3 linked regions of the Drosophila melanogaster genome follow. The protein of the gene in region 2 interacts with the protein of the main gene of each other region in a pairwise test. Each region holds a gene or a part of one and is shown on either strand. Other genes may lie near its edges. The genes, in order: CG32756, CG8507 and CG13461.

Region 1 (3,760 bases), on a different chromosome or scaffold from region 2:
CAAATTCCCCTCGGATATTCCGACTTCGGGTTCTTGAGTGAATGCCGGGGGGTAATCGTAAAAATCATTAATAGAATCCAAAGCGTTCGATGCCTCCCTAGTGACCTCCTCATCATCAGAAGAAGAATTCTCATCATTAAAAGAAGCATCCTCATATTTAGAGGCATCATCATCTTTAGAAGAAGCATCCTCATCTTTAGAAGAAGCATCCTCATATTTAGAAGAAGTATACGCATCTTTAGAAGAAGCATCCTCATCTTCAGAAGAAGCATACTGTTCCTGAGATGCAAGTTCATATACACCATTTCCGACGGTTGGATTAAATTTGGTTAGTTGTCGGCCAGACCATCCTTGGGAAAGCCCCGAAGATGTGGATGACTCTTCGTCATCATCAGTGAGATCATTCTTGGTGTCCATTGGCGCTAGCTCTACTTTTAAGATTACATTTACGTTTGTCTCTTGGGAACTCTGCGAGCTTTTGTACTCGACAAGCGGATTGGAGCGGCGCTGCATTACCTTGCGCTCCATATGATTGGTATTGATTTCAAGAGCCTTGCGCTTCCTGCAATTGCGAAAACATATCTTATTAATCGGTAAATGTGAACACATTGTACCAATCCCACCTAATGCGAGGAGCTTCTTTTGGGCTTGATGCCTTCGAAGAAGCAAAGTAGCCGTTTGACGAAGAATAGGGCGCGACATCCCGTGCCCATGGCGAAGAAAGCGATGTCCAATTAGGCGATGGCTTATCAGCAAAAAAAGTACTCTGCGCCTTCTGGTAGGCAGCGGAACAGTCCAGCAATTGCTTGTGCTCATTCATAAAAGCCTCGAGATCAAAGGGCTGGGTTTCCACGGTCACTAAAGAAGGCATAAGGTTTTGCGATTACTAACTAAGCGAATGGAATGCACAAGAACTTTCGATTTGCAAACTTGTTCTTAACTAACCTCTGCGCAGCTGGCATCCCTCGGTGCGATACTGGTTCAGCTCCTTGTCCTTGGCATGGATAATCCCTAGCAGAAGGGGTATCTGAGCCCGTAGTCCCAAAGCCGTGGACATTGTGTTCAAGAACATTTGGCTATACAACTTTGGGAATAATGGCACTAATTATTATAGTTCTTGGAACTGATTCTGCTAAAGTCAGTTACTGACCTGTGCGGCATCCATGGGTCTCAGGTGCCATTCCCACTTGAGGAAAACTTTGAAATTCGCCATGGCATACTTCAGTTTCAGGACGTTCAATGGGTGCTGGTAATCCTGTTCGACATGCAATGGATCCTTGTTGAGCAGGACCTGGCGCACCAATTCCTCGGGAAACTTCACACGCGCGTTGAGCGTCTGGTCGAAAAAACGTGTTGCACTCACACTATTTCACCACATGAAAATGCGGAAAACTTACTTTCAAACGCTGCTGGTAATCGCGTTTCATCAAAGTCTCGGAGTAAGTCCACTTCTCGCGAGGACGGAAAACGTGAATAGTTAGGGTTTCATCATGCTGCCCCTCAGTGCAGGCGAACAGGTGCTGCAAGCCATTTATATTCACTACTTTCAATAGCATTTTGAAGTTACGTTTAGAAGGATCAGAAATCAAAGGAAAGAAACATCACTGACGCACGCCGTAGAGATGAAAAAGAATCGATAGTACCGTCTAGGTATCGAATTCTTACCAATCTATCGATTGTTCTTTGGCGGTAACGATGGTGATGTATAAAGATTCCCAACAAAAATGGGATGTAACTCTATACCTATTTGAACTAACCATTAGAAGTATAAATCAAATATACTTTATAACAGCATTATATTATATATTATAATGTTATTATATTATTATAATATGAAACAAGTAGTACCTAAACCTTTATGTGTTCACGCCACATCAACAGAGTCTGAGCGTAGGCTGGACGTATAATAGGTAACCGCAGGGCTTTCCTTAAAACGATCAATGCTGAAATACTTTTTCTGCAGGGAAATGCATGGATAGAATGCCTGTGCGTATTTCAATTAACTAATCCACGCGGTTGTATTTATAGACATGTATTTATATTATATTATATATTATAAGATCCTAAATGTGTAGATCAGTTATAGTTGTGACCCACCGATGGGAACAACACATTATTGTGGGAATTCAGGGTTCAGGAAAGCATTACTCAGGATCCAAAACTAGCCTCGTCTAGCTGTCTTTCATCCTTCTGTTGTAATCCTAGATCAGCCTGAAAAGGCTGAAAGCTTCTAAAGCAAATGGGATAAGGCAAACTTTAAAGATTATTTATTCAAACTGCAAACGTTTCTTTTTTTATCAATTTTATTAGTAATCGTGCCAAAAAATATTTAACATAAAATGCATTGATCAGGAGGTTATAACCGCTGGAAAGCCCTGACTAATCGGTCGATAATTGACCAGAAAATTTCCGGGCAATCATTTTGACAAATTTTAATATTATTCGATATGTTCCATAGAGATAGGAGTTAGTTGCTGCTTCTATGCAATGGAACTCAACTTGTTTGTGTACTGAGGGTGTTTTGGTAAGACGTTTTAAAATCTACAACACTATACATTGTTTTGTTTCATTTGATTGCTGTTCGATGGACTTAGGTACGAATACCTAATCAACAAATGGAATCATGTCTTTATCCTTTTATCACTGAGGATTTGTGTTTGTCAACTTGTTTGTGTACGTGTACTGAGGGTGTTTGATAAGACGTCTTTTTAATATCTACAACACTATACAGTTCTTTGTTTCATTTGATTGCTGTTCGATGGACTTAGGTACGAATACCTAATCAACAAATGGAATCATGTATTTTATCCTTTTATCACTAAGGACTTGTTTTTATCTAAAAAAAAAAAAAAAAAACAAAAAAAAAAAACGTATGTACTAAGTGTGAAGTTTTGCTTGTAGCACCATTTAGAATGAGATCGTTTCCAAATTATTTTTGCGCTAACTTATTGATATAGCTCTGGATCGCTTTTTCGATGCGTTCAGTTGAGTAAATCAGTACGGCTTTGATATCTTCCAGCACAGTTCGAAGAATTAAATCCCAATTCTGATCGGACTTTCCGACTTTGGGTTCTTGGATGAGTTCCCTTGGGGCATCGTAAAACTCTTTTAAAGATTCAACCTTCTTTATGACGAAATTGAAAGCGTTCGATGCCTCCCTAGTGACCTCTTCATATTCAGAAGAAGCATCCTCATCTTTAGAAGAAGTATCCTCATCTTTAGACGGAGCATCCTCATCTTTAGAAGAAGTATTCTCATCTTTGGAAGAAGCATCCTCATCTTTAGAAGAAGCATCCTCATATTTAGAAGAAGTATCCCCATTTTTAGAAGAAGCATCCTCATCTTCAGAAGAAGCATACTGTTCCTGAGATGCAAGTTCATATACACCACTTCCGACGGTTGGATTAAATTTGGTTAGTTTGGCCGACCATCCTTGGGAAAGCCCCGAAGATGTGGATGACTCTTCGTCATCATCAGTGAGATCATTCTTGGTGTCCATTGGCGCTAGCTCTACTTTTAAGATTAAATTTACGTTTGTCTCTTGGGAACTCTGCGAGCTTTTGTACTCGACAAGCGGATTGGAGCGGCGCTGCATTACCTTGCGCTCCATATGATTGGTATTGATTTCAAGAGCCTTGCGCTTCCTGCAATTGCGAAAACATATCTTATTAATCGGTAAATGTGAACACATTGTACCAATCCCACCTAATGCGAGGAGCTTCTTTTGGGCTTGATGCCTTCGAAGAAGCAAAGTAGCCGT
Region 2 (3,760 bases):
TGCTCTTGCTTTTGCTGCTGGAATCGCTTTCATCTAAATTTTCTTTTTTCGATGGTGTGGTGGGAGCTTCCTGCTTTTCCTCTAGCTCTTGGACGCCCGAAACGTCTGGAATTCGCTGTAGCGACTCCTTTGGAACATTTCTCACGTTAATTACATTTAGCAGCATCTTTAAGTTGTCGCCCGATATGGAGTCGCCTTCGGGCGCCCGTGCATTAATGGACTGGTGAATCGTTGGTGTCCCTTGTGGCGCTGGCTTGTGTAAAAGTGACGCCCATGCTCGGGGGCTTAAAATGTATTTAAAGCACAGCTTTATGGTGTAACCCACTAAAAACACCAAAAGGACTGGTGCAAGGAGGTTATACGGGAAGGATAATCCGGCTATGGGTAAATATGGTAATTAAGTGGTAAGTGGTAATTATTGACTGTGCGAATTCTTGGTTAAATACTTACAGGACAGTTTAGTCATAGTTACCGACACCTTTTCTATCATGATTTCCAACTGCTTGATAAATATGTTATTCATGTACATAAAGAACACTTGATCTGGCATGCAAATGGAAATGCTGATTTTTGCGGATTTTCTGAATGGAAACGATCATCAATCGACTTATTTAATTATATGTTATGGTCTTACTTGATCATTTCTATCTTCTTAGTTTTTGGTGAGGCTTGGTATATGTAGCCTAACAGTCGACCAAACCAGGACGATTCAGGCTCATGGTGATGATTTACGACCTCTATCATCCTATCGATGTCTAATTCCTAATTATAAACATATAATGAGCACAATTTCACACACTTTCAGGCTAGACCTACTCTGTTGCATTCTAAATAAGTCTGAATATATCCGCACAGAAACACGCCTCCTAGTACAATTGAAATTAGTCCGACACGGAAACGTTTGTGCACAATGACGACAAGTGCAATTGCTAATGTTGCATATAGGATAAATTTCACCTAGGAATGAGAAAACCCATTAAATAGCAAATAGTCAAGTTTCCATAAAAAGGCGCAACAGGTACCTCGGTCGTTTGCGTCAGTTCAATTACATCCTTGAAAATATCCACCAATAAGGAGAAAAAGCCGTGTCGGACGTATGAGCATCCGGATCTTCCATTAAACAAAGGAGCCTCCTCGGCACTCTCCAATATCTTAGTCAGCAAAACGTCCAAATCCCGAGCATCCTGCACCCTCTCCAGTTCATCCAGTTGCGATGGGATCAGGGAGAAGAGCAGCGATCGCTTATGGACCGCCGACATAACATCGTACTAATTACACAAAAGTTACACACATATGACGTCATGTCGCCAACTTTGGTCTAAACAGCGATCATACCTGAAAACGCTTGCGCTGGAACAGCAGATTGACGAACTTCTTGAAGTATGTGAGTGCCACGGCATCCTCCATGGCCACTGGAGACACATCTGGACACGTAGGACACTGGCACAATTCACCGGGCTGATTGATATCGTTAACCAGGTCCGACCAGGCGGGATCCGGACTCAGCCAGGACTCATCGTTGCCGCTCTGACAGCATACCCTGTGCAATACCAACAGGAAACAACTGACCGCTGCCTCCGTTCTCATTGTCCTGGTTTCTCAATGTAATCACTCCTAGGTAGTAAGCACTCGATAATAATTATAATTCAGCGCAATTTCGTGGTAAGGCGGCTGATGCAAATTGGCAGTGTGACCAAGTCCAGTTAGCAACATCACAGCGTCACGTCAGTGCTGCAATATCTACTTATCACTTCAGGAAAATGTAGCTTTATATTTATTAGACAAACATGCTTTTATGATTTTTCTTCACTTCTACTGCAAATTGAATTATTTTTATTAAACATCTTTATCAAATAAATCAAACAAATTGTTGTAAATTGACCAAGATCAAAAATCGTAACTGCGAAAAACAAAGCATTAAAATAAAATAAAAGCTAGACTGTCAGCACCAAAGCTTTATGCGATCGCTAGATGGCCACACTGCGTGTTGTGAATAACTGTTTAGCCAGGTCAGCACTGCACCAATAATTGCAAGCTTTAAAACCGAAATAAAAACCACGAGGAAAATGGTTAGGTCAGCTCTCGTTGTTGCAGCCATCGCACTTTCCGTACTTATTGCACTGCAGGGCGTGGATGCCGACAAAAAGCAGAGCAAGAAGTACAGCAAGGAGGCCAACGACCCGCATTTTCAGCAAGTAAAGCAGGAGAAGTATGATCCGGATTTTAAGAGCATCCAGCGGCCATTTCGCATGGCCAAGTTGAATCTCGTGTGGGCCAAGGCGCAGAATGTAAGTGGACACCATAAGATATCTCATATTTAACCGTACTAACCTCGGTTACAGCGCTTAACAGAGCCCAAGCTCAAGTCACTGTACATGGAACTCAAGATCCACGATAAGGAGGAGATCGCTTGGAAGCAGCTCAACTCGCAGCACAAGGACAAAGACGGGCTGAAGGCCGACGAACTGCGCCGCAAGCTCATTGGCATCATGAGCAGCTACGATCTGCTAGAGCATTTTGACGACACTCAGGATACGGAGAAGCTTAAGCCCTACAAGGTACGTATCTAAATCATCTTTCCTAAGAGCAAGAGTTTCTCTACATCCAAGTTAACTTTAAGAAATTCCACGACGCCGAGGAGCGACACAGAAACAAGAGTCTTTTCAAGGACAAGAAACTCAACCGACTTTGGGAGAAGGCCGAGATTTCCGGATTTACTGCAGAGGAATTGAAATCCTTGAAACAGGAGTTTGACCATCACCAGGATAAAGTGGATGTGTACTACAGCTTGCTGGAAAACATTGGCACCGTAGACACCGACAAGCATGAAAGTGAGTTTGGCTAAAAACAGCACGAAAAGCATCAATTAATTTCATTGATTATTCTCGTTAGATGCTATTAACACGGAAGACTTGGACACCTACAATCTGATTTCGAATGATGTCAATGAGAACGACATCAAAACCCATGCGCAAAACGTGAAGAGTTTCGAGAACGACCTTAACACTCTGCGAGGACATCACACGGGCATCAAGGATCACTACGATAGGCTGGAACGCCTGGTGTCCTCCGGTCCACACAGTCAGGACTTCATTGAACCCAAGGTCCAGGGTCTATGGCGAGTGGCCCAGGCTAGCAATTTTACGGTTAAAGAACTGGAGTCCATTAAAACCGAATTGCATCACTTCGAAAGTCGCCTATTAAAGCTGCGTCACTTGCATGCCGAGCATGCTTTGCAAAAGGAGAAATACAAGGTATATGTTTCTTAATATCAATCAAGTTTGTAAGCCAACTAACAATTATTTATAGGGCGAAAAAGTGAAGGACAAAAGCAGCCGCTTTGAGGAAATGGAGGATCAGCTGAAGAAGCAAACTCGCAAAGTGGAGAAGCTCCAGGAGAACATTGAAAAAACCATCTTCAAGCACACCGAGCTTTAATAATTTGAAAGTGAAACACTGAAAGTGCCAAGCGAATAAATTAGATTTAATTGCAACTGTTTGTGTAACGCACAAAAATATTCATTCTTGCTGCTATTCAGCATAGATATAATTTTGATACCAAATATCATTTGAACATAAATAAAATCTCAAGTTTAATTTTGAACTATATACAATCTATTTTGACCTTTAAAAAATTCAATGTGGAAAAAATAAATTTGTAATATATTCAAAGTACAATATAGGGTTAAGAATAAACCGTTAAAAAAAACGATAAAATTAGTGTGACCATATGATAGCAGGCACAAAACGCGTATTTCCC
Region 3 (3,220 bases), on a different chromosome or scaffold from region 2:
TATATGTACAAAAGTAAATATTGCAGTTTTATCTGCCAACTCTTCCGTCACCTGACGATGTAAGTGAACTACAATTTAAGAGATATATTTAGGAACTGAGAGGCATATATCATAAGCAGCTTTCTTTGCACTAAAAATAACTTGAAAATATATAAATTCTGTAGCACGAAATTATTCAAATTCCCCATATAATCATTGTTGCTATAATATCACTGGGAATGGCAGTCAAAAACTTTAGAGATATATTGTTTTACAATAAAATAGCCGTAAAAATTGCTAAAGCAATTCTGTAACACGGGATTTTAACGAAAATACTTGGGGTTATGACATACAGCTTATCTTGTGTTATGGTACTTTAAATGAAATAATTTACTTTAACTATATATATAATATCAGCATATTAGCAAAATCAAATTATTTAAAATCTTGTGGCCAGATTTTAAATACCAAAGACTGTTATTTAACTGACATTTAAGCATACATTTTTTTAAAAACTGATGGTATGAAAGCGTATTCATTCTATATAATTTTTTTAACTGTGTAGACAAGCCCCTCAAGCTAAACAAATTCTGCAAAAAGTATTATATACTTTGTGGCGTTTTTTCATATCGATCGACATATATAGCTTTAATTTATTTACTGTTTTATTTGTTGTATAATTTTAAAGCATTTTGTCTAATGTTTATTGTTAATGGATATTTTAAAAACACGTGTTATTAATCGAGGAAAAGGGGCCTTGCTTGGATGAGAAGAGGTCCGAATGGTCGAATCTGGTTGTTGGGTGGAGCATCCTGCTCCTGATCGCCTTCTGAATCGTTATTATTATCCGATTCGGTATTATCATCAGACCCGTTGTTATCTTCCTCATCATCTCCGCTTGATTCATTATCTGACTCCTCCTGATTATCCTCGCTATTTTCATCATCCTGGTTATCCACATTTCCAGAATCTTGACTTTCTTCAACAGCAGGTTCTTCCTCGGCAGCATCGGAGTTTCCCTCGCCATCATTACTGGACGAATCCTCATTGGTGTTATCCTGGATGGAGGACTCCTCATCCTCAGCTGGCCGTGCAGCCACAAGACCAACAGCCAAAAAGGCCACAAGAGCAACGACAATTAGGAATCGCATTTTTTTGTGTTCTTGTGCTCAGCGAAGTTTTAAACTGATTTGAAACTTTACTCGATCAATCGCTTTTTATATTAAATGCCTTTTTTTGTTATTTGAACGAGTCATTTACGAATTTCATATTTGAACAAATGCTTATCCCATTATTGCGTGGTGACGCACAATCTTAATTGATATTATTCTGGGAATTGTCCAGAATTGTTTTGAGTAAGTGGGTTCGTTGTGCTTGCCTCTATTCTGATTAACAGGTATCTAATAGTCGTGGCACTTGACTATAGCGACCTCTGTTTTTATTTTGTCATATTTATTACACACTCGCATGCAATCATTGAATTAAAAAGATAGTGAATGGTTTTTGGCCTTTTTAAAACATTAGATACAAATTTTCTTACCTTCATTACTATTTACTTCGCCTAAAGGATTTTCATTTCCGTCGTGGTAATATGTGCTAATATAAAGCAAAATAAAAAATCTGATATCTCCAAATCGAACTTCAAAACGTTTATTGATTTCATTTAACTTATAAAGACCAAAAAACGTATTTAAAAGTTTTACCCTGAATAAGTTTTATTTTTATTTTCTTTATTGGTGATTTATCAGTTGCTCATTTCATATTTTGTGTTTGAGAAATTGCATCGGGGGAGAATTTCTAAATATTTTTGTATTTTCGAATTTAAGCCGCTGATGTTGTAGAGCACCAGTCAACTGGGGCTTTTGGGTTGACAATAACGATAACTTCTCCACTTGGATGGGGAAGTGGGCTTGCACTCACAAAGGCCATGGCCAAAAGAGCAATTATCACGAGTACCATCAGAAAGTGCATCTCTATTTCGTAGACTTAGTTCTTCTTTGAATAAGTTTTTTCAAAGTACTGCACTTCTTATATATGAATGCCGTGTTTGCTTTAAAATTTCTATTGCAAACTGCACAATGGCTGCACCTTACTAATGTTAAGTAAATATTTGAGAGATAAAACATTTATTGATCTATTGAGCCACACATTACAGGCAGAAAATTATTTCTTTTTCCCTGCGCTGAAATAAGAGTATTAAGAGTGGCTTTGAGGCCAATTAATTAAATAAAAATTGCATTTTTAAGATTTTGTTTAGTATGTAATTCTTTACAAAATCATTTAAGAGCTGTATAAAAAGAAGTTAAGTAAAAAGCACCAATTATGATGGGTGTTTCCAGAAATGTGTGTATTTACTAGAATAACATAAAAACCTTTACTTATTTGGTTGTTGAAGATGAACTGTGTATTTCTGTGTAAACAGTTGTTTAAACGTCTAACGACCGGTGAAAGCGTGTAGATAAAGACAATAAAGAATAGAAAGGGTTAATTCCCATTAGAGCTACTCTTCATCTTGATTGTACTGGATGCTCTCGTCGCTTTCGGAATCATCATTGTTCTGGGAATCGTCCTCCGGGGATTCAGGCTCATCTAAGTCGTCGTCGGACTCGGGTTCATTTGAATCCTCATCGTCTTTCTCATCATCGTTAGCATTATCCTGCTCATCAGCAATTCGTTTGTCCTCCTCGAGGTCCTCCAAGTCGTCAATGTCCACCGGATTTGCGGAAACTGTGGCCAAAAGCACACATCCAAACAGGGCAAGCAGCAAATAGGCACGCATTGTATTGTCAAATTTAGTTTTCAACTAAGTTCAGTTCCACATTGAAAATACGCTTTTATAGCAAAATCTCTAAATTGGCAGAAAAATAAAAGCGCGCATTGTGACAATTTATTTGGTTCGTTTTGTGTTTACCCCGCGACAGCTGTTGCCTTGGTTTGAGCGTCAAAAAATGAGGCAAAGTCGTGCGTAAACATTTGACTGACGGAACTTGGAGAACGTATAAAGATTACAGTGAAACGTGGCTAACGTCATACTTTTATATACAATATATTGTATAACCTAAGGAAAGCAAACACAGCATGTTATAATCCATAGTTAACTTGCTTATGAAAATGTCTATATCAAATTAATGACTCCTTTTTATTTCTTTGTAGAATAACCACTGTTCCACCTACAATTGTTTACAAATTTTGGGAATGGCCCTCCATATTCTTATTTTCTGATTCATAGCACATTAGCTTG

Evidence for each region.
Region 1: the proteins of CG8507 (region 2) and CG32756 interact in a two-hybrid assay, tested with the Drosophila melanogaster proteins (one large-scale study listed by BioGRID).
Region 3: the proteins of CG8507 (region 2) and CG13461 interact in a two-hybrid assay, tested with the Drosophila melanogaster proteins (one large-scale study listed by BioGRID).

The regions. Positions count from the first base shown.
Region 1 is NC_004354.4:5,943,557-5,947,316, reverse strand, and holds the start of CG32756 (uncharacterized protein), read right to left. Parts: upstream 1,636-3,760; 5' UTR 1,557-1,635; coding exon 1,398-1,556; intron 1,337-1,397; coding exon 1,151-1,336; intron 1,085-1,150; coding exon 946-1,084; intron 859-945; coding exon 624-858; intron 563-623; coding exon 1-562. Other genes in the region: CG12728 (uncharacterized protein), read right to left, coding at 2,930-3,644, 3,706-3,760.
Region 2 is NT_033777.3:9,789,504-9,793,263, forward strand, and holds CG8507 (uncharacterized protein), read left to right. Parts: upstream 1-1,979; 5' UTR 1,980-2,066; coding exon 2,067-2,288; intron 2,289-2,342; coding exon 2,343-2,558; intron 2,559-2,620; coding exon 2,621-2,831; intron 2,832-2,892; coding exon 2,893-3,254; intron 3,255-3,309; coding exon 3,310-3,438; 3' UTR 3,439-3,595; downstream 3,596-3,760. Other genes in the region: CG12945 (uncharacterized protein), read right to left, coding at 1-378, 451-581, 635-762, 817-957, 1,023-1,268, 1,336-1,587.
Region 3 is NT_037436.4:15,051,346-15,054,565, forward strand, and holds CG13461 (uncharacterized protein), read right to left. Parts: upstream 1,146-3,220; 5' UTR 1,131-1,145; coding exon 717-1,130; 3' UTR 586-716; downstream 1-585. Other genes in the region: CG43680 (uncharacterized protein), read right to left, coding at 1,801-1,950; CG18649 (uncharacterized protein), read right to left, coding at 2,480-2,758.